Macaca mulatta: one gene and its partners. The protein of the gene in region 1 purifies or fractionates together with the protein of each later gene. This does not show direct contact. Links are inferred from orthologs where the notes say so. Each region holds a gene or a part of one and is shown in the gene's direction. Other genes may lie near its edges.

Region 1 (5,934 bases):
CGACAGAGCGAGACTCAGTCTTATTTAAAAAAAAAAAAAAGAAGAAAGGCCGAGCGCAGTGGCTCACGCCTATAATCCCAGCACTTTGGGAGACCAAGGCGGGCAGATCACCTGAGGTCAGGAGGGCAAGACCAGCCTGACCAACATGGAGAAACCCCATCTCTACTAAAAATACAAAAAATTAGTCGGGCTTGGTGGTGCATGCCTGTAATCTCAGCTACTGGGGAGGCTGAGGCAGGAGAATCGCTTGAACCTGGGAGATGGAGGTTGCGGTGAGCCAAGATCGCGCCACTGCACTCCAGCCTGGGCCACAAGAGCAAAACTCGGTCTCAAAAAAAAAAAAAAAAAGCAGAGGCATGGAGTTGTTGGTAGGACCCCAGCCAGGGACAGTGAGGAGCATGACAGGAAGAGAACGTGCCTGTCCTATCCCTGTTCTCAGCCAAACCCCAGGGCCCCTCCCAGGCCCCTGGCCCTCCTCATCCCTCAGTTTATAGTGAGCTCCAAGGTCAGGGGGCCCGTGGCCTTGGTGCCTGTGTGTGGAGGGGCCCCAGCACCACGTCCATCCTGCCTGCAGGGCCCGGCGAGCCGCCAAGGAGGCCAAGGAGGCCCCTGCCCAGCCTGCACCTGAGAAGGTCAAGGTGGAGGTGAAGAAGTTTGTGAAGATCGGCCGCCCAGGCTACAAAGGTGAGTGCCCGGAGCGGCGCTGGCCACAGCCGCTGCTGCTGCATGAATAGGTTCTTTGGGCTCCAGTGCAGGAGGCGCAGCCCTGAGACCCTCATTCCTGAGCCGCTGTTTTCTGGCCTTGGTGGCCATCCCTCACCCACCTGCAGCCTCTGGCGTTGTGTCTGGGAGCTGTCAGGCTGAGCCCGATAAGCACCCGTCTCACCCAGCGGCCCCTTTCCCAGCTGAGCCACAGTCTGTGCCCTCCTGTCCGAGTGTTGTGGAAGCTTCTGGGGAGTCTTGCCAAGCCAAAGAGTGGAAGTGGAGGTGTGGTGAGCCCTGGCACACTCCTCCGGTTAACCTTGAAGCCTCTGAAGGAGGACAGGAAGAAGCGGCTGTTAGAGGCGGCTCCTCCGGGACCCTCAGCAGTGGGAATGGCAGGAGGTGACCTGGTTCAGAAAGCCAGGGAAGCGGCCAGGGTGGAAGAGACAGACCTTGTGTCTGTAGGGTCAGGAAGGCGGGCACGCTACCCAGCAAGTGTTTTTTTTTTTTTTTTTTTTGAGACAGAGTCTCGCTCTGTTGCCCAGGCTGGAGTGCAGTGGCGTGATCTCCACTCACTGCAAGCTCCACCTCCCGGGTTCACACCATTCTCCTGCCTCAGCCTCCCGAGTAGCTGGGACTACAGGCGCCCGCCACCTCGCCCGGTTAATTTTTGTATTTTTAGTAGAGACGGCGTTTCACCATGTTAGTCAGGATGATCTCGATCTCCTGACCTCGTGATCCACCCGTCTCGGCCTCCCACAGTGTTGGGATTACAGGCATGAGCCACCGCGCCCGGCCCCAGCAAATGTTCTTTACGGAAGATGGGGACAGCCTGTGTGCCTGGCCTCCAGACAGGAGCCTGCAGGGCACAGGCCCCGGGGCAGGTGTGCTGGGTGGACGAGGGTGGCTAGAGCGGCAGACTCCTGGTGGGGAGGCCCTGACAGGTCCTGAGCTTGGGCTCAGGGCAGTGAGGAGGTGGAGGGCTTGTGAGTGTGCGTGTCTGAGGCTGCTTGGAGAGTGGCCAGGCCGTAGGCGGCCCAGCAGCCATTCTCGGGGTCCAGGCTGCTGAGCTCTGGTGGGAAAGGCATCCTCTCCCGCTCACCCTATAGATGGTGTTGGCCCTGTTCAGGCGGCCCCACTCTAATCCCAGAGCCAGGGTGCCATGGGCCGCTCCCTACCCAGTGGCCCCGACTCCTGCTGGATAGTGTCCCAGCACCCTGGGTGAAGGGCTCTGGGGATTAGGACAAAGGAGTACCACCCTCGGTCCCTGCCCGAGTGACTCCGCAGGTAGCTCAGCCCTGGCGCACCTGTGCCTTCACCTATACCAGAGTCCCAGAGCCTGGGCGGATTGGCGGTTGCCTGGAGCCACAGGGCCTCCCCTGGGGTCTCGCCCTCGTTCAGTGGGTGGCATTAGCCTGCCCCAGGTCCCTCAGCTTTGGGGAGGACAAGCAGCCGGGACCTGAGAGCTTTCTGTGTTGCAGTGACCAAGCAGAGGGACTCGGAGATGGGCCAGCAGAGCCTCCTCTTCCAGGTGAGATCAGGGGCTTGGGTGTGGGGGGCGGCCGAAGGCACCTGAAAGGTGGCGCTGCCACCCGGCTGTGTCCCCACAGATCGACTACCCTGAGATCGCCGAGGGCATCATGCCACGCCACCGCTTCATGTCTGCGTACGAGCAGAGGATTGAGCCTCCGGACCGGCGCTGGCAGTACCTGCTCATGGCCGCTGAGCCCTATGAGACCATCGCCTTCAAGGTAGCATGGCTGCGGGGTCCCCTGGGCCCCAGGGCCCCCTGAGATGTGCGAGCCAGAAGGATCTGCACAGGCTGGGCAGGGCGCCCCTCCTATCAGGCTGTGGGGTCCCCTGGGATCCCCGAGACGGAGCCAGAAGGGTCTGTGCAGGCTGGGCAGGGTACCCCTCCCATTGGGCTTTGCAGGAGGGGGCCTGCTTGGGCTCCACTGTGCCCATGGAGAAGGGAGGCCGGCAGGGCTGAGCGCTGGGCCTGTGAGGCCTTCGCCAAGTGACCTCGCTTCTTGGTCTAGGCTGCTGGAGGGCTTCCCACAGCCTGTGCCTACGCCTGGACAAAGCAGCCATCAGGAAACAATACAAACGGTGCCTGTCCAGGGCGGGGGCCAGCGTGTGCTAGCGTGGAGGCCGGGTCTGTGTCACTCCAGAACTGAACCCTGTGCCCATCGAAAGTCTTACCAGGCCGGGGCCTTCTCTTGGGCTCCCAGGGTGGAGTCCGGGCCGGGGAGGCTAACGCCTCAGGCTCCCTGCCTGATGGCTACCCTGAGGTCACAGGGACCAGGAGCCCTCTCTGTCCCCCGCCTTCCCAGGTGCCGAGCAGAGAGATTGACAAGGCGGAGGGCAAGTTCTGGACACACTGGAACCGGGAGACCAAGCAGGTGAGTGGCTAGCCCTGAGCTTGGCTCCTTCCTGCCCAGCCCCGGTGGCCCTAGCCCTGCCCGTGCCTGCTGAACCTTTCTCCGTCTCTCTAGTTCTTCCTCCAGTTCCACTTTAAGATGGAGAAGCCCCCGGCTCCGCCCAGCCTCCCCGCCGGCCCCCCTGGGGTGAAGCGGCCTCCACCTCCGCTGATGAATGGTCTGCCCCCTCGGCCACCGCTGCCCGAGTCTTTGCCACCGCCACCGCCGGGAGGCCTACCTCTGCCACCCATGCCCCCCACGGGGCCTGCACCCTCAGGGCCCCCGGGACCACCCCAGCTACCCCCACCAGCTCCAGGGGTCCACCCCCCGGCCCCAGTGGTGCATCCCCCCACCTCTGGCGTCCATCCCCCAGCTCCTGGCGTCCATCCCCCAGCTCCTGGGGTCCATCCCCCAGCTCCTGGCGTCCATCCCCCAGCCCCTGGGGTCCACCCACCAACCTCTGGGGTCCACCCCCCGGCTCCCGGAGTCCACCCTCCAGCCCCCGGGGTTCACCCTCCAGCCCCCGGGGTTCACCCACCAGCCCCCGGAGTCCACCCACCAGCCCCGGGGGTCCATCCTCCCCCATCAGCGGGGGTTCACCCCCAGGCCCCAGGGGTACACCCAGCAGCCCCTGCTGTTCACCCTCAGGCCCCGGGGGTGCACCCACCAGCCCCAGGGATGCACCCTCAGGCCCCGGGAGTCCACCCCCAACCTCCCGGGGTCCATCCATCAGCTCCTGGGGTCCACCCTCAGCCTCCTGGAGTTCACCCCTCAAATCCTGGGGTACACCCCCCAACTCCCATGCCCCCAATGCTGAGGCCCCCACTCCCCTCCGAAGGCCCAGGGAACATACCTCCCCCTCCCCCAACCAACTGAGAAGCTGCTCCCTCCCCCAGCAAGCTCAGCGCCAGGTGCTCCTGCCTTTTGCCATCGAGAGAAGGCTGCTCTTTTGTACCGCCCCCTGCTCATTAAACAGCCTTCCCCAGCCCCGAGTGCACTGATGTCTGCAGCGCCGCCCTCCCTTGTCAGTGCTGTGTGGGAGTGCCAGGCACAGCACCATCCCTGAGTTTGCGCCGACTGGGGAGGGCCTGGGGCCTGCCGGGAGACACCTGTGGGAGGCCTGAGAGACAGCTGTACCTTGGAGGTGGCCTGGTGGAGGACAGACTCCACCAGCCAGCTAGGAGGGGGTCTGGGGTCCTGTCCTGGGGAGGGAAGAGCAGACTCTTGTGATATCCTTGGGGTCTCCAGATAGCCCACCAGGGGTTGGGAAGGTGAGCAGGGACAGGGCGCCCCCACTGACTTGGGACCCTCCTCCTCCAGGCCCACCCCTTAGCACCCAGGACATCTGGGCCCCCCGCCCCCAGCGCTGTCTAGTCTGGCTGCTTGGCCATCACTCCCAGCCTGGTTCCCACTCCTGTGCCTTCTGGGGACGGGCCCTCAAGGACAGCATGTTGACAAATCAGGCCCAGCTCTATCGCTGTGGGGAGGGAGATAGGCTGCTGGCGACAGAAAGGGCTCTTTGAGAAGGCCACTCTGCCTGGAGTGGGGGCGCCGGGCACTGTCCCCCAAGGTCGCGGCAGAGGAGATAGGGGCCTGTCCTTTACAAACACCCTACCTTCCACTCGGCTTCCACAAGGCGGGCAGCCCAGCTCCTGGCAGCACCCATGACGCGGGACCTGCCTCTCACCAGCCTGACCCTGGTACTGTCCGCCCTGGGGGCTCTGCTGGGGACTGAGGCCCTCAGAGCAGAAGAACCAGCTGTGGGCACCGGTGGCCTCATCTTCCGAGAAGACCTGGACTGGCCGCCAGGCAGCCCACAAGAGCCTCTGTGCCTGGTGGCACTGGGTGGGGACAGCAATGGCAGCGGCACCCCCCTGCAGGTCATGGGAGTTCTGAGCGCCTATGAGCGGGCCTTCCTGGGGGCCGTGCAGCGGGCCCACTGGGGCCCCCGAGACCTGGCCACCTTTGGGGTGTGCACCCCCGGTGACAGGCAGGCTGCCTTGCCCTCTCTACAGCGGCTGGGGGCCTGGCTGCGGGACCCTGGGGGGCAGCGCCTGGTGGTCCTGCACCTGGAGGAAGGTACGTGGGGCCCAGCCCCGAGCTTGGCACCGCCGGCCTCCTTCAGGTGGGCCAGGTCCTCTTAGGGAAGATCAAGGGCTGGCAGAGCCCACACCCTGGGCAGGGAGGCTGTGGTCTTGTTCTGGGACTGGGCTGTGGGTCCATGGCCTGGAAGGTGGGCACCGCGCTCTGTCCTGTCCCTGAAGCCCAGCTCTTAGACCAGCCCCTGCCACAGCGGCAGGGAGAGAGCTGCTGTCTTCTCGCCACCCGTGAAGAAACCACCCTGTGGCTCGGGGCCAGTGGAACCCTCCTCCCCACCGCCCCACACCTGGCCAGCCTGTTCTCGGGGCCACTGGCCTGAGAGACTCCCTGCGGGGAAGGGGCTTCATCGGGCGCCCTAACCCAGAGACCCCAGGGCGGCAGCCCCACCCACAGCCTCAGACGCAGCCTCTGCCTGCCCGGGCGGTCACCGCTCCCTGGCTGCAGGAAGGCAGTGAAGAGGGACACTAGGTCCCCCGCTCAAGGCCCCCTGCACAGTGGCCAGAGCAGCAGGGACGGATCCCAAAGACTCCCAGGGGAGTGTGGGACGGGCCTGGCCTTCAATGGCTCAGGCGTCCCCTGCTGTCCTGGCTGCAGTGACCTGGGAGCCCACACCTTCGCTGAGGTTCCAGGAGCCCCCGCATGGAGTAGCCGACCCCCCGGAGCTGGCGCTGCTGGTGCTGTACCCTGGGCCTGGGCCTGGCCCTGAGGTCAC
Region 2 (5,687 bases), on another chromosome or scaffold:
CTTAGTCTGAGGATAGAGCAGTGAACAAAACAAACTGGATCTAGGTTTTCTTGGAGTTCAGAGTTATTAAACTAGGCTCTGAAGTGGACATCAGGAGATTCCCTCCAAGACTTTGAGGACATGGTTATATTTCAGCCATATTTGTTAAAGAATGGAGTTCATTATTTTTTCCTGATTTGGCCTCAGTGCTTCAGGCCTGTGTCATGAGACGTCATCCCCAAGTTCCTGAGAAAGTGCAGTTTGGCAATGAAGATGTCAATCAGGAGGAGAGTCTGTCTGCATCCCAGCATCCCTTCATTCTTTTTTTTGGCGGGGGCGGGAGGAGGGGAGGTGGCGGACTCTCGATCTATCGCCCAGGCTGGAGTGCAGTGGTGTGATCTTGGCTTACTGCAACATCCGCCTCCCAGATTCAGGCGATTGTCATGCTTCAGCCTCCCGAGTAGCTGGAATTACAGTCGTCCACCACCACGCCCAGCTAATTTTTGTATTTTTAATAGAGACAGAGTTTCACCATGTTGGCCAGGCTGATCTGGAACTCCTGACCTCAAGTGATCCGCCCTCCTATGCCTCCCAAAGTGCTGGGATTACAGGTGTGAGCCACCGCAGCCGCCATCCCTTCATTCTTAATGTGATTCGTTTGCGCAGTCAGCCGTCGATACCCCTGGACAGTCTGCTTTCCCTGCTTCTGTACGGCCTTGGGGGGCCTTTCATTTAAAAATCAAAATGGAGAGGTTTTAATTAATCGGAGTGTTCACGTATGAAGGAAAAGGGAGAGGTTTTAATTAATCGGAGGGTTCACCTATGAAGGAATGGAAGAAACTAAAAAGTGGTACCAGTTTTCTGGATGCTGACTTCAGGCAGGGAGTTCCTGTACTTAAGACCAGGGCAGTTCTTCTGAGGGAACAGAAGTTGGTGTGCACTCCGTCCCTCACTCCAAACAGTGTGGTACCAACATCAGCTAAGGTGTTGGGGTGGCAGGGTGTTAGAATCCTGGTAATGGAGGAGCTGAGAAGTAAGAGTACCTTCAAGAGAAATGCTTGCCGAGTCAGACCTAAGGAGGATGTGTGTTAAATATTTTCCTTCTCTTCTGAGCCACAGAACACAAGCAAATTAGGCTTTTCGATAACACTGTTTCCATGGGAAAATGCTTTATGGGCCCCCTGGGAACTGACAGACTTTGGGAATTTGTCCATAAATTGGGAACTACTGTGCTAAGCATTTGCTTGCAACTTGTGGGTTTCTGTTTAAATTATGTTCTCTTTCTGTCTGTGAGATTGATTTCTTATTTGAAGAAGTAAGCATGTCGGTGGGTTTCGGAATGTTGAGTTTTTTTTTAAAAGTGGCAGTTGGGGTTCACTGGTGAGGGCTCTGGAGTTGGCCTGGCTGGGTTGGAAGGGGCTTCCACTGTGGCCTTGGGCAGATTGATTCCCTAAACCCCAGCATCCATGTCTGTACAGTGCTGGGCTTTCATGGGACCTGCTGCCGATGCTGCATTGCATGTCATGCTTTGTGCCTGCTGACTTGATTTTTGTTTTCACGTGTTCCTCTGTTCTGCACGGAAGCTGTGTGTTGCTTGTTCACATGCAGATTGTTGATTGTCTCTTTGTAATTGCTATCATTAAAGATGACAAGTTTCCACTTGGGGGGGATATGAGGAAGTCATAGTATTTAAGATATAACCAGCACCGCCCCCCCCCCCCCCCCCCCGCCGATAATCGTAATTGACAAAATCACATCTAAGAGGTCATTTCTGTCACTTTTTTCCCTAAGAGTATGTTTAAATTTTTTCTTTATGAAAGGGTAGCTAATTGTGCTAAATCAACCTGGTAATTTGTGTTTTTAAGGCTTCTACTTTTTGGCACTGACATGAATAGAATTTTTTAAACATTGGATATATGTAATTAATAATGTCTCAATTCTTACCTCATTATGTGCCCTAGCTTTGAAGGATTTCACTCATGGATCACCTGACTGCATGGTCTTGTAGATGGAAAAATGAATTCTAGAGCCTTATTTTAAAAATAATACATGGTGTAGCTTCATATATCGGGAAGAACCCTGCATTAATGGTACCAGGAGCCTTGGCCTCTGTTGCTGAAAGGTCCTGGACCTTTTACCTCTAAAATTTCGTGATTTTTATTTTAACATGAAAAGCCTTTATTGAATTGTGCATTCTTTAATCCCCACCCCTTTTGCCTTTCAGCATTAAACTGAAGAAAAGATGTCCCTGTACGATGACCTAGGAGTGGAGACCAGTGACTCAAAAACAGAAGGCTGGTCCAAAAACTTCAAACTTCTGCAGTCTCAGCTTCAGGTGAAGAAGGCAGCTCTCACTCAGGCAAAGGTAAAGACAAGCCCAGAGCAGGAGAGCAGAGGCCTCCAGAGTGGGTTGCTCATTAGGATGACAAGGAGTTTGGTTTCAGCTTGCTCTTCTGCCTTTGTATTGGGTAAATGGTGTTAAACATTTGTAGGGGGAGAGGAATGAGGAGTTTAAGGCCGCTTTGCTGCTCCTGGCTCCTGGGAATGGGAACATTTCATGGGATAGGAATGAAGAAAAACAGTACTCTGTGGGGTTGGGCACGGTGGCTCACGCCTGTAATCCCAGCACTTTGGGAGGCCAAGGCAGGCAGATCATGAGGTCAGGAGATGGGAGACCGTCCTGGCCAACACGGTGAAACCCCGTCTCTACTAAAAATACAGAAAATTAGCTGGGCATGGTGAGTGGGTGCCTTTAGTCCCAGCTACTCGGGAGGCTGAGGCAGGATAATGGCATGAACCTGGGAGGCAGAGATTGCGCCACTGCACTCCAGCCTGAGTGACACAGCAAGACTCTGTCTCAGGACGGGCGTGGTGGCTCAAGCCTGTAATCCCAGCACTTTGGGAGGCCGAGATGGGCGGATCACGAGGTCAGGAGATTGAGACCATCCTGGCTAACACGGTGAAACCCTGTCTCTACTAAAAAATACAAAAAATTAGCCGGGCGAGGTGGCGGGCGCCTGTAGTCCCAGCTACTCGGGAGGCTGAGGCAGGAGAATGGCGTGAACCCGGGAGGCGGAGCTTGCAGTGAGCTGAGATCCGGCCACTGCACTCCAGCCTGGGCGACAGAGCGAGACTCCGTCTCAAAAAAAAAAAAAAAAAAAGGCTCTGTCTCAAAAAAACAAACAAACAAAGCAAAACTGGTACTCTGAACCAGCAGTGACACTGGTTTTCAAACTTAAGTAGTGGAGGTCTAAGATTGAGTGAGAACTTGTTTAAGGTGCTGATTGTGTAGCCATACTCCTGATATTCTGGTAAACTCTAGTTTAGACTGGAGCCCCAGGAGTGGGCATTTTTAAGTAGCATTCCTACTGGTTTGTTGGCGGTAGTTTGGAAGCAGCACTTTGGGAAGAAGCTCCACAGAATACCTAAGCTGCTGGGTGTAACTTATTGAGGGCTGGGGTTGGTTGTGAAGGTGTCAGGCATATGTAGTCTGGATGCTAATTGCTTTTGTTTCTGTTGTGTGCATGTTGGATATTGGCAATGTCCTTGAAATAACTCAACATGTAAAACATTAAAAACATAGTTGTCGACTGGATATTTGCCATTAAAATGTAGGCATGAGAATGGTATGATTTGTTTACTATTTTAGAGGTCGTTATGCTCTAGAGTTTGCATTCGCAGTGGAGGCTATATCCCCCCAAACGGAGCGAATGTTGGTCTTTTGGGGGGCAAAAAAATCTTGCTCATATTGTGCACAGTGTTAAAATTTCATGTGTCGGAAAAAATGTATTAAAAGGCTCCTTGTTGGGGAGGCAATAATTAAACTTGAGAAAAAGTACTTTAGAGATACATGCTGAAATATTTACTGATAAGATGATGTCATTTTTGGGATTTACTTCGAAACAATTCAGTACCAGGCAGGGGAGGGAGGGAAGAACAGAACTACCCATGAGTTGGTAATGGTTGAAACTGGATAGCAGAGACTTAAGAATTTATAATCTCTTTAATTTCATGTTTGAAAATTTCCATAATACACAGGGTTTTTTTTTAAAGTTTTACTCATTTTTCTTTTCCCTTTACCACATCAATAGATACTTACATGGAAGTGCTTACGTTTGATTGTTCAGTATTGTAGAAGTTTTTTTGTCTTTTTAAAATTCATCATTACCAAATTTAGATTTTTTGGATGCGAGTATTTTTTGTTTTTTTAAAGCAAGTTTTCATTCCAAATGTAAGGAAGGTTAGCAAAACCTCGTTTTTCTCTTTAATTTTTTAAAAAAGTAAATGTATAAAATCTTTGTAGATTTCATGTAACTTTTGCTTTGCAGGAAAGATGTGGATGTGAGCCACCATGCCCGGCCTCATATAGATTTTTAAAACTTGAGGTAGCTTGTGAAGTTATTTCTACTAACTTTCTAAAACTTTTGAGATTGCTATGTACAGTTAGTTTTGTGGGTTTGTTTGTTTGTTTGTTTAAGGGAAATGAAGATTGCATTCTCTTAGGCTGTTTAGTTACTCAGAATACTAGATTGGCCTAGCCAAACCTGTAAAGATATTTATTTGGTAGAGAAAATTTGAAGCTGTGGTTTCATTTGTATCTCCATTTGAAAAATACAAAGTTGTTTCTTGGTGTCCACAGGGGATTGGTTCGAGGATCCCCCCGCACCGGATACCAAAATCCAAGACTGCCCAAGTCCCTTATATAAAATGGTGTGGAGTTTGCACATAACCAGCACATATCTTCCCATATTTTAAATAATCTCTGGATTGCTTGCAATACCTAACACAATGTAAATGCTGTGTAAAAAGTTGTTATACCGTATTGGTTTTTTAATTTGTATTTTTTCTTGTATTGTTTTATGTTCTTAATATTTTCATCCTGGGGTTAGATATGTGGAACCTGTAGATACAGAGGGCCAACTCTATATTGAATAGAAAATAATAGAAAATACGTGATTCTGACTGGGCACGGTGGCTCGCACCTGTAATCCCAGCGCTTTGGGAGGCCGAGGCGGGTGGATCACCTGAGGTCAGGAGTTTGAGGCCAGCCTGACCAACATGGTGAAACCCTGTCTCTAATAAAAATACAAATATTAGCCCAGTGTGGTGTCATGCGCCTGTAATCCCAGCTACTCTGGAGGCTGAGACAGGAGAATTGCTTCAACCTGGGAGGCGGAGGTTGCGGTGAGCCTAGATCGAACCGCTGTATTCCAGCCTAGCGACAGAGCAAGACTCCATCTCAAAAAAAAAAAAAAGAAAAGATGTGATTCTAATAAATCCCCCTTCCATTCTTTAAACTTTCATATTTACTTTGTGAGTTGTTAATTGGGTTAAATTTTGTTTGCTTAAATTTATAAGTATTGTTATATTCAGGAGAGATGAAGGCTTATTTTGTGCCTTTTATAGTGGTAATGAAAATTTGTAACACTTTGACTTGCAAAAGAGAAAAATTAAACCTTTCTAATCAAAAGATCTAATAGTTGCCAGCATACCCATGTGATCAACCTTAGCTTTGCTGATAGGCAGCCTGACTCAGTGTGCCTGCTGTGTGATGCCGGAAGGGGCACACTGCCTCACCTGCAAAGTGTTCTTGCCTAAAAGCTTTACCCTGCATTCAATCAAGCCTTTAACCTCCAGGTTTCAGGAGTTACAAGGAATAGAGGAACAAGCTAAACTAAATAGCCAGGTAGTTATTAGACAGATCTAGA
Region 3 (5,687 bases), on another chromosome or scaffold:
TAAAATATTACTTAGGTTTAATGAATGCTGTGTGGTGGAATGTGAGCAAAAGAACAGATATGGTGGGGAAATGCACTTGGAAATTTTTGATTCTTTTAAATACTACTTAAAATCTTACTAGAAACTTTTCCTACATGATTGGGCAAACTTAAGCTGTCTAAGTGTTTGTTTTAAAGTATTTATGGATACGTTCTTATGTTTATAATTTCTAAATAGTCACAAACGGAAGATGGCAATCAAGCTTCGTAATGAGTATGGTCCTGTGTTGCATATGCCTACTTTGAAAGAAAATCTTAAAGAGAAGGGTCCTCAGAATGCAACGGATTCATATGTTCATAAACAGTACCCTGCCAATCAAGGTGAGTATGGTATTATCAGAAATGTCAGACGTATGTGTGAATTTTAAAAATAGAAAAATAAAATGTGTTATTTTTGCCCCTGCTGGCAGGACTTAGGTGTGGTCATACAGTATTTAATGGCTGTACCAGTATTATAATGGAAGTTTTTATCCTCGTGGGAATACTGAGACATTGGTTGATGACTTTTTTCTTATAGGAAATAAAAATGGTAGTATAATGATGGCAGAGATTCTTAGAATGTGGAGAAGGTCACAGTAGAGATTAAAGGAAAAAATTGGAGAATATTCTTAACCTGTGGGGATACCATCTATCCTGTCTGTAATTCAGAAAGATGAAATTAAATACTGAAATCTTAATAAATGAAGAGAATTCAAGCTTCCACAGGAAATTTGCTTGGAAGAAATACCAGAGTGGATTATCACTTGATAGGAGGGCTTCTTTGTATACCATTGCTATATAGCAAATGGACAAGGACATGGTTTACAGAGATCAAAAGTGACCAATTTCCCTTATTTCTGAGGCTTAACTTTAGTTGAGAAAATGTGATAGATCCAGTTGAAAATGTAATATTATTTGATACTTTAAAGAGATGATAACTTTTATATATAAGATAAATTCACTACTGTTGATTTTTTTTGTCTTTTTTCTAGGACAAGAAGTTGAATACTTTGTGGCAGGCACACATCCATACCCACCGGGACCTGGTTAGTGAGCTGTTGTATATTGAAAATGTCTTAAAAATGTCACATACATTTTCACTAACGAGCCAATAATGACATTCTTGTTGCCTGTGAAATGCAAGATAAGTTCAATAGCCAAGCATCCGTGCATAGCTTTGTAGGTGATAATGAATACTCATGTGCCTTTATTCAGCAAACATTCTTGAGTATGTATAATTTTTCAGGCAATGTGCTAGGAATTCAAAGAGTAAAACTGTTGCAGGCCTAGACAAATTTATTATCTGGTGGTTTAGGCAGACATGTAAATATCACCAAGCTTATAAAAATGATGGGAATGTTAGAGGCAGTATCTTAGAAACATGTCCTCTGTCTGTATTAAGGTATTGGCCCACAGATGGAGTGGCCAGTATAACCGGGTAGAGGACAAAAGGCTTAGTATATATAGAAAGTGCAGGAAAATTGGGTGCTTCTGGTTGTAGTAAGTTACAACCACTCTTGGAAACATTCTGTTTGTATTTGAGGAACTGCTTAATACTGACTTTTGAAACTAATACCCAGATATAATGGAAATTAACTTTACTGTTCTGGGCTGCTTTAATACCTTGTAGGCTGTGATCAAATTTGAGTTATGTGTTACTAAGCAGTATTTATTGTAGAAATTAAAAACAAGATGAGCAAAACTTAATCAAAATTTGTATCACTGCCTGGAATTAATAAACGTTTGGAATGTTTTCCTTCATCATTTTATTTTAAGTGCATGTAAATGAATAATACAAAGCTACTAAAAGAAATTGATTTTTCATTTTAATAGGGGTTGCTTTGACAGCAGATACTAAGATCCAGAGAATGCCAAGTGAATCAGCTGCACAGTCCTTAGCAGTGGCATTACCTTCTCAGACCAAGTATGAAATATTATAATTACAAAGATCTTAAAAGCATATTTCACTGTTCACGTTTTTTCTTTTTAAAATTTTTTTATAACTATTGTATGACATTTTCCTTTATCAGGACTTATAACAATTTAAAATAAAGGGTTAGTTTTGCAGAATACATGACTGGAGGCATTAATTACTTTGAATATAATATTTCTTTTGCCTCAGGACTGATGTAAATCGTACTGCACCTAGTGGAAGTGAATACCGACATCCTGGGGCTTCTGACCGTCCACAGCCTACAGCGATGAATTCAGTAAGTTTTTCTGCGTCAGATAGCAGGTTTCTAACTTTTTAAACATGTTGCCTTATTTCCCTCTGATCGAAAGTCTTACCTTAAATACTAAAGAAATGAACACTTTGGAATTATTAAGATAAATAGCAGCCTGAGCTAGTCATTCATATTTCATAGCCCTAACACTCAAGTTGGTAGTAAATTAACATTTTTTGGAATGCTGTTATTTGTCTAATTGTACATTGTGTATAATATGTATTTTGATAAAGATAATGTGATGTTGGTATTTATTGCCCACTATTAAAAATGCAAGGAGAGTTTTTCTGAAACCTGTGTTAGTATGCATTGCATATGAAAGTCTTTTTTTTTTTTTATTAAATTTTAAGTTGGTACAGTTATGTTGAGTGCTATTAGTGTTGTACTATTCATGGGCTATACAACTAGTCTTATAAATGAACATTTAGAAATAAGTTTATCTGTAGGTAAATGGCAACTGGTATTAGTATGGTAGAAGTAGTTGTAGAATTATTTTCTATAGTTATTTTATTGATTTATTTTTCTGCCATGTATTTTATTATGCTGCCACTTGAAATAAGTGCTGGCTTTGCTTCTCAGCTCATTATGCAATTGTTTTGACTTCATGAAGTGAATGAATGTGTAACCCCCACGTCTCATTTCTTCCTTTATCTTCCATTCAGAGCATATCTTCTGTCCAGGCTCTCTACCCTCCTTATGAGGGTGTAATTTAAGCTTCTTGAGGGCAGGAACTTTATGGGCTTAATTATTTTTTGGATGACTAGATGACTGCTAACAATAGATGGTATATCAGGCAGTACACCTGTTAAAATAGTATTTAAATATTGTATTAGAAGATAAATAGAAGGAACTATCATATCAGTCTTTGCTACATTAAATCCATAAGGTTAAAATATGACAATGAATGGCAGTGGCATTAATACACTTAAAATGATTTTAATAATGCGAGCTTACATGGAGCATTTACTACTTTTTACATCTTTGTAGTAACCCTATGAAATAGGCACTATTCTTCCCATTTCATAGGTGAGGCACATAGAGGTTACGTAATTGTTACCTACTGTCAAACAGCTAGTAATGGGCCAAGCTGGGATTTGAACCCATACACAGTGATGTGTGTTCTTAAGTCTAATGTTCTGCCTCTCTCTGATTTTATAATTGCTTTTTAAAATTAACATACAGAAAATTTTATTTCTTCGTTTATGGAAAAAATCTTTTGTAAGTTCCCTCTTTCCATTTCCATTTCTGAATTGATACAAAGTCTTCGGTATGATATCTTTAATAATAATAATGTCTCTTCTATGTCTAGATTGTCATGGAGACCGGCAATACCAAGAACTCTGCACTGATGGCTAAAAAAGCCCCTACAATGCCAAAACCCCAGTGGCACCCACCGTGGAAACTCTACAGGGTGAGTGACTCTGCATTTATTTTATTATGTGAATCATGATTGCTTTCTAGTTGACAAGCACTGAAGAATAGAGTAAGGAGGAAAAAGAGTGAATATGAAAAACCGGTAGAGCAATCTGAGGTGGATTGAGAAGAGTCTTAGGGAGTATCTTAAAAGATCTCTTGGGAAGGCGACTTCCTTAAGTAAAAGTTACACTTGTATTTTATATAAAATCATATAAAATGTCAAGATAAAGCTACTAAATATGGATTGCAGACTAAATAAATTTAGAAAGTGTTCAAAGTATTTAGTTTGAAGGTGAAAGGGGAAACACCATATAAAGAAATTCTTTGGGCCTACCAGTTATTCTTTCAACTACAATAAATTAAAATGAGTCAGAGTGTATCATCTAAAAGAAAATGGACCTGCGTGCTCACTTCAGCAGCCCATATGCTAACATTGGAACAGTACAGAGAAGATGAGCATGGCCCTTCTGTAAGGATAACACAGATTCGTAAAGTGTTCCATACTGTTTATTTTGCATTGCTTGCCTGTATCAAAATATCTCATGTACCCCATAAATATATTTCTACTGCGTACCCACAAAAATTAAACACAAAATTTTAAAAAAGAAAGTGTACATAGTAGAAAATGTACAACTACACGTAATTTAATATATATTTTCCCCATAAATATATTTCTACTGCGTACCCACAAAAACACAAAATTTTAAGAAAGTGTACATAGTAGAAAATGTACAACTACACGTAATTTAATATATATTTTAAAATTTTTATTTTTCAAATGATTGTACAGCAAGAGCTTTTTGTTTGACATACAGGTCTAATGAATTGTAATAGATGTATTGATTTGGGTAACCACTACCACAATTAGGATATAGACATTACGTCACCTCAAAAAACACCCCTGTGCTATTTTTTTGTAGTTATATCTTCCTTCACCTCTGACAATCACTGATCTGTTTTCTATCACTATAGTTGTCTTATTTTTTTTCAATAATTTCAGTTCTAATTTATTTTTAATTTTTATGGCTAACATAATAGATGTGCATATTTATGGGCTACATATCAAATCTGATACAAGCATACAGTGTGTAGGCCAGGTATGGTGGCTCATGCCTATAATCCCAGTACTTTGGGAGGCCTAGGCAAGTGGATCTCTTGAGTCCAGGAGTTCAGTACCAGCCTGGGCAACACCACAAAATCCCGTCTACAAAAAATACAAAAATTAGCTATGTGTGGTGGTGCACACCTGTAGTTCCAGCTACTCCAGAGGCTGAAGTGGGAGGATCACTTGGGCTCAGGAGGCGGAGGTTGCAGTGAGCCGGGATCACACTGCTGCACTCCAGCCTGGGCAACACAGTGACACCCTATCTCAAAACAAGAAACAAAGAAAAAAAAGCATACAATGTGGAATGATCAAATCACAGTAATGGGGATATTTATCTCCATGGTAATTGGGATATTATTTCTTTGTATTAGGAACATTTCATTTTACTCTTCTAGTTATTTTGATATATACAATAAATTATTCTTAGCTATAGTCACCCTATTGTGCTACCAAGCTAACTAGCCAAACTAGTGCTACCAAACACTAAATCTTACTCCCTTTATCTAACTGTATTTTTATACCCATTATCCACTCCCTCTTTATCCTCTGCCTCCCTACTATTCTTCCCAACCTCTATTAGCCATCATTCAACTCTCAAGATCATTTATTTTTTAGCTCCCATATATGAGAGAGAGCATGCAGTACTTGTGTTTCTGTGCCTGGCTTATTTCACTTAACATAGTATCTTCCAGTTCCATCCTTCTTGTTGCAAATGACAGAATTTCATTCTTTTTAATGGCTGAGTAGTATTCCATTGTGTGTATGTACCACATTTTATTTATTCATTCACCTCTTGATGGACACTTAGGTTGGTTTAGCTTTGTCTTTTTGACTATGTCATATAAATGGAATCATACAAAATGTGCTTTTTGAGATTGGCTTCCTTCACACAGCTTAATACCTTTGTGAGTCACTGAAGTTGTT
Region 4 (5,687 bases), on another chromosome or scaffold:
GTTCCAAAGTGTGTCAGTATATTTTTATCATGCTAAAGTATCACTTCCTTGTTTGTTTGTTTGTTTGTTTAATTTTTGAGACGGAGTTTCACTCTTGTTGCCCAGGCCGGAATGCAATGGCACGATCTCGGCTCACGGCAACCTCCGCCTCCCGGGTTCAAGTGATTCTCCGGCCTCAGCCTCTTGAGTAGCTGGGATTACAGGCATGCACCACCACATCCGGCTAATTTTGTATTTTTAGTAGAAACGGGGTTTCTCCATGTTGGTCGGGCTGGTCTCAAACTCCCGACCTCAGGTGATCCACCCGCCTTGGCCTCCCAAAGTGCTGGGATTATAGGCATGAGCCACCGCACCCAGCCCTCACTTCCTATTTTCTTGAGTATTTTTATCAAAAAGGCTATTGAATTTTTGTCAGACATTTTTGTCATCTGTGAAAAGAACCCCTTGACTTTTGGCCTGCTCTTACATGTAGTTTGTGGATAGATTTCCTAACCTTGAGCTAACCTTGCACTCCTGGAGTAAACCCCACTGAGTCACGGTCTGTTACTTTCTGTCCCTAATGTTTCATGTGGTCTTTTTATACCAGTGTTCCTAAGTGATGAGAGTTCTTTTTCATTGGCCCTTTTCAGACTCGAGCCTTATGCGGACCCTTATTATGACTATGAAATTGAGCGGTTTTGGCGTGGCGGACAGTATGAGAATTTCAGGGTGCAGTATACAGAAACAGAGCCGTACCATAATTACCGAGTAAGTATGACTTAAATATCCAGATATGAACTTCATGATCTGTTCATTAAAGTCATCCCTTTTTATTTATAGTAGAAAATATAGGGCTTTATATGAGCTTATAGAGTCAGCACAGTGTACCAATTTCAAAACCAAATTGATTGTTATGGAGAACTAATTCAGAGCCAGCGATTAAATCAGTGGTCATTTGAACAAGGACTTGCCTGAAAACTGGTTCTTGCTATAGTTTTGGGAGTTTTTTTTTTGGTTTTTGTTTTTTGTTTTTTGAGATGGGGTCTCACTCTGTCACCCAGGCTGGAGTGCACTGACGCAATCTCGGCTCACTGCAACCTCTACCTTCTGGGTTCAAGCGATTCTCCTGCCTCAGCCTCCTGAGTAGCTGGAACCACATGCATGCACCACCATGCCCAGCTAATTTTTTGTATTTTTTTTGTAAAGACAGGGTTTTACCATGTTTCCCAGGATGGTTTTGAACTCCTGAGCTCAAGCAATCCACTTGTCTCGGCCTCCCAGAGTGCTGGGATTACAGATGTGAGCCACTGCGCCTGTCCTGGTTTTTTCTTTTTCTTTCTTTCTTTCTTTTTTCTTTCTTTTTTTTTTTTTTTGGAGATGGAGTTAACTCTGTTGCCCAGGCTGGAGTCCAATGGCATGATCTCAGCTCACTGCAACCTCCACCTCCCAGGTTCAAGTGATTCTCCTGCCTCAGCCTCCTGAGTTGCTGGGATTACAGGTGCCCACCATCACACCTGGCTAATTTTTTGTATTTTTAATAGAGACGGGGTTTTGCCATGTTGGTCAGGCCGGTCTCAAACTCCCGACCTCAGGTGATCTGCCTGCCTCGGCCTCCCAAAGTGTTGGGATTACAGGTGTGAGCCCCGGAACCCAGCTCGGCCTGGTTTTGAAAATGAGATTTGCCAGTATACTTAATGATGCCTGTGTCTCCCTGATCGGGTGTGTCACTCTTCCCTGCCCCTCAGTGATCCCGTTTAGGATGTGGCGGCTGTTTTCATCTACTTCAGCCAGCTTGTTAAGTGTGTTCCTGCGGGCCTGCTGCACCTCACTCCTCTCATGGAAGACTGGTCTATACTGAGATTTCCTCCCTGGAAATCTCCCTGGTCTGAGCCTCAGTTTAGCGTATTGATGAATTAAGTGCTTCAGACTGTGAGTTCCTCATCTTAACTGTTAGGGTGATTTGACGAAGTGCTCCAGGGAAGGGTCCGTTAGAAGCTGCTGTGTAGTTCCTGCTCTGTGACTGCGGGGACAGTCATGAGCTTTGAGGACCAGGTGCGGCTGTCTCCTCAGGAGCCCATCAGGGTGAGCTCACCGAGAGGAGAGGGCCCTATTGTGCCGGAGAAGTCCCCCTGCTCGATCCTCTCGTGCCCCGTCTCTCCATAGAGCAGCTTCCTCATTGCAGGTGGGCTGCAGGGTCCTGCTCCCTACCCCTGGGCAGGGCACCCTGGAATGTGGGAGAAAGCCCCAGGAATCCCTTTCCACTGCGTTCTTCTCTGCTGTGTCTGAGGGAGGGGCAGCAGGGAGGCTGGGGGTGCACCCCACATCTCCCCAGCAGAGGCCTCGAGCCTGAAACTCGTCAGGTGCACTGTAATTGGACTTTATTCAGTTTTAACATTGAATATTAGAGCAAATGAATGAGTAAGAGCAAAGAGAAAGTTGGAAAGGGCATCTGAGGATTGTACTAGAAGAACAGGAGCAGCCTTTTGGATGCCCGCTCTGCTCCAGAGGCAGGGCATGTGCACTGCTGTGGCTGCACCCACCTGGGACAAGCCTGGAACTCCAGTCTCTGGATGGACGAATGGATTTGCCCAGGCCACATGGCAGAAGGCCATCTGTCCCAGCGGCATTGGGCTGTGACTGCAGAACTGCTGCCTTGAGTTAGTCTAGAATTGGCGGTTGGGATGATTTCACTCCTAGTTCGTGTTTGCTCTAATTTGGCATCTGACCCGGTTTTTAACATTGTGTTTTTTTTTTTTTTTTTTTTTTTTTTTTTTTTTTTTTTTTTTGAGAGGGAGTCTGGCTCTGTCGCCCAGGCTGGAGTGCAGTGGCCGGATCTCAGCTCACTGCAAGCTCCGCCTCCCGGGTTTACGCCATTCTCCTGCCTCAGCCTCCCGAGTAGCTGGGACTACAGGCGCCCGCCACCTCGCCCGGCTAGTTTTTTTTGTATTTTTTAGTAGAGATGGGGTTTCACCGTGTTAGCCAGGATGGTCTTGATCTCCTGACCTCGTGATCCGCCCGTCTCGGCCTCCCAAAGTGCTGGGATTACAGGCTTGAGCCACCGCGCCCGGCCTAACATTGTGTTTTAAGGAGAGAGTTGGGAATTAGATCCCCACTGGAGGGTGCTCCCTGATCCTGCCTCTCTCTTGCCATCTCCTCTGTACTCCACCGCAGAGTTCAGCCATAGTCGTGTGCACTTGGCGTTTTGTGTGTAGGTTTGTGGGGTTTAGGTGTGATTTTGTGACACAGATCGCGTGGTGTTGGAGCCAGGGCTTTCAGTGCCTCAGTCACCCAAATAACGCACTGTGTCCCCATGTGTTTGGCTTTTTAACAAAGGAAAGGGAGCGGGAGCGAGAGAGAGAGAACAGACAGCGCGAGCGCGAGCGGGAGCGGGAGCGGGACCGAGAGCGGGAGCGCCGGCAGAGGGAGCGTGAGCGAGAGCGGGAGCGTGAGCGCGACAAGGAGCGGCAGCGGAGGAAGGAGGAGTGGGAGCGTGAGCGAGCCAAGCGGGACGAGAAGGACCGGCAGCACCGTGACCGCGACCGGGAGAAGGAGCGGGAGAAGGAGAAGGGGAAACCCAAGCCCCGCTCCCCGCAGCCACCAAGGTAGACCGTGGTTCCCGAAGCCCAGGGGTGTGGGGAGTCCGGCACGCAGTCTGTACCTAGCCCCCCGAACTGCAGGTCCGGCACGCAGTCTGTACCTAGCCCCTCGACCTGCAGGTCCGGCACGCAGTCTGTACCTAGCCCCTCGACCTGTGCTTCCATTCTGCTGCCCACAGCTCTGGAGCCCAGGGGACGAGTGCAGGCCCACGGCCCGAACCTGTGGTTCCAAACCCAAAGCTCTCCGACGCAGGGCCTTTCTGTAAAACTCCCAAGGTGGTGACATCTGCCCTGAGCTCCTGGGAGGCTGTTCTTGTTCTAGGGGATCTCACTGATGTGAAAGTGCTTACAGTCCACATGCAAACATCAGTGTGCTTTAACAGACACTGCCCTTGTATACCACGCATGGTGTGTAACTCACACCCTGGGCGCCATGTTACTGTTCTCAGCAGAGTTCTGAATTCCAAAGCACGCCTGGCCCCCGGAGCTTGGGACTGGGCTCAGGTGCTGTGGGGCGTCCGTGTTGCTGGCCAGGGGGAGGCGCTCCAGCAGCCAGCATGCAGGGGAGGGCTGGGGTCCTGCCGTTTCCTTTGTGGAGTGGGTGCAGAATGATCCTTGCTGCCAGCTGCTGGGGGAACAGCGAAGACCCATGAGACAGGCAGGCGCTGGGGCTCGGGACAGCCGTTTTTTTCCTTCAAATATACTTGACTATTAAGAGCAGAATGGATGGGCCTCTGGACATTAGAGTACTGGATGATGTTTTTTGTGGGTGTTTCTTACAACTTTATTGAAATATAATTCATGTACCATGCAACATACCCATTTAAAGTGTACAATTCAGTGGTTTCTAGAATATTCAGAGTTGTGCAGCCATCATCACAATCAATATGGGAACACTTTTGTCTCCCAGAGTGAAACCTTGCGGTGGCTTACACTTGTATCCCTGCACTTTAAGGAGGTTGAGGCAAGTGGATTGCTTGAAGCCGGGAGTTTGAGATCAGCCTGGGTAGCAAAGCAAGACCCCATCTCTATTAAAAAAAAAAAGAAAATTAAAAATTAGCCGGGCGAGTTGGCATGAGCCTGTGGTTCCAGCTACTCAGGAGGCCAAGGCAGGAAGATTATGGGATCGCCTAGGTGTTGGAGGCTGCCATGAGCTACCCTTGCACAGCTGCACTCCAGCCTGGGTGACAGAGCGAGACCCTGTATCTTAAAAAAAAAATTGTTTTAAAAAAATTTAGGCTGGGCACGGTGGCTCACGCTTGTAATCCCAACACTTTGGGCGGCCAAGGTGGACAGATTGCTTGAGCTCAGGAGTTGGAGATCAGCCTGGGCAACATGGCAAAATCCCGTCTCTACAAAAAAATACAGAAAGTTAGGGCGTGGTAGTGCGCCACTGTGGTCCCAGCTACTCAGGAGGCTAATGCAGGAGGATTGCTTAAGCCCAGAAGGTTGAGTTGAGGTTGCAGTGAGCCGAGATTGTGCCATGGCACTCTAGCCTGGGTAACAGTAAGACTCTGTCAAAAAAAAAAAAAAGAAGAAGAAGAAACCTTGTACCCATCAGCAGTCACTCTCCACTTTGCCCACACTTCCCAGTCTCTTAGCAGCTTTGTGTCTCTAGGGATCTGCCCGTTCAGAACATTTTGTAGGAACAAGTGTGTGATATACATGGCCTTTTGTAACCGGCCTCTTTCACTTCGAGCGTTTTTAACATTTGTCCACACTGTGGCGTGGGTCAGTGCCTTACTCCTCCGTGGACACACTGCGTCGTGTTTCTCCCTTCCTCTGTTGATGGACATTGAGTTGTTTCCACCTCTTGGCTGTTGTGAATGTGAATTTGTGTGCAGGTTTTTGTGTGGACGTAGGTTTTCATTTTTCTTGGGCGTGTACCTCAGTGTGGAATTGCTAGATCATGTGGTCACTCTATGTTTAGCGATTTGAGAAACCCCCAGACTGTTGTGCACAGCAGCTGCACCTTTTACATTCCCGCTGGCCGCGTAGGAGAGCGCCATCTCTCCACATCCTTGTCTCCACTTGCTGTTGTCCGTCTTGTTGATGACAGCTGTCTCCGTGGGTGTGGTGTCTCCCTGCTGTTGAGATTTGTATTTCTCTGAT

Evidence for each region.
Region 2: the proteins of SF3A2 (region 1) and RBM17 purify together in Homo sapiens (affinity purification with mass spectrometry; 4 studies listed by BioGRID and IntAct, counting the BioPlex papers as one, with this or other methods). This does not show direct contact. The link is inferred for Macaca mulatta from reciprocal best matches to the Homo sapiens genes SF3A2 and RBM17.
Region 3: the proteins of SF3A2 (region 1) and PLRG1 purify together in Homo sapiens (affinity purification with mass spectrometry; 3 studies listed by BioGRID and IntAct, with this or other methods). This does not show direct contact. The link is inferred for Macaca mulatta from reciprocal best matches to the Homo sapiens genes SF3A2 and PLRG1.
Region 4: the proteins of SF3A2 (region 1) and ZC3H18 purify together in Homo sapiens (affinity purification with mass spectrometry; 3 studies listed by BioGRID and IntAct, with this or other methods). This does not show direct contact. The link is inferred for Macaca mulatta from reciprocal best matches to the Homo sapiens genes SF3A2 and ZC3H18.

Annotation. Positions count from the first base shown.
Region 1 is NC_133424.1:2,993,175-2,999,108, forward strand, and holds the end of SF3A2 (splicing factor 3A subunit 2), read left to right. Parts: intron 1-551; coding exon of another isoform or gene 552-574; coding exon 575-684; intron 685-2,183; coding exon 2,184-2,233; intron 2,234-2,312; coding exon 2,313-2,453; intron 2,454-3,035; coding exon 3,036-3,104; intron 3,105-3,197; coding exon 3,198-3,998; 3' UTR 3,999-4,109; downstream 4,110-5,934. Other genes in the region: AMH (muellerian-inhibiting factor), read left to right, coding at 4,787-5,201, 5,817-5,934. UniProt on the Homo sapiens protein: Component of the 17S U2 SnRNP complex of the spliceosome, a large ribonucleoprotein complex that removes introns from transcribed pre-mRNAs.
Region 2 is NC_133414.1:7,673,864-7,679,550, forward strand, and holds part of RBM17 (splicing factor 45), read left to right. Parts: intron 1-2,203; 5' UTR 2,204-2,221; coding exon 2,222-2,344; intron 2,345-5,687. UniProt on the Homo sapiens protein: Splice factor that binds to the single-stranded 3'AG at the exon/intron border and promotes its utilization in the second catalytic step. Involved in the regulation of alternative splicing and the utilization of cryptic splice sites.
Region 3 is NC_133410.1:163,138,362-163,144,048, reverse strand, and holds part of PLRG1 (pleiotropic regulator 1), read left to right. Parts: intron 1-216; coding exon 217-359; intron 360-1,009; coding exon 1,010-1,063; intron 1,064-1,850; coding exon 1,851-1,941; intron 1,942-2,139; coding exon 2,140-2,227; intron 2,228-3,551; coding exon 3,552-3,653; intron 3,654-4,061; exon of another isoform or gene 4,062-4,166; intron 4,167-5,687. UniProt on the Homo sapiens protein: Involved in pre-mRNA splicing as component of the spliceosome. Component of the PRP19-CDC5L complex that forms an integral part of the spliceosome and is required for activating pre-mRNA splicing.
Region 4 is NC_133425.1:83,995,787-84,001,473, forward strand, and holds part of ZC3H18 (zinc finger CCCH domain-containing protein 18), read left to right. Parts: intron 1-629; coding exon 630-747; intron 748-3,312; coding exon 3,313-3,581; intron 3,582-5,452; exon of another isoform or gene 5,453-5,687.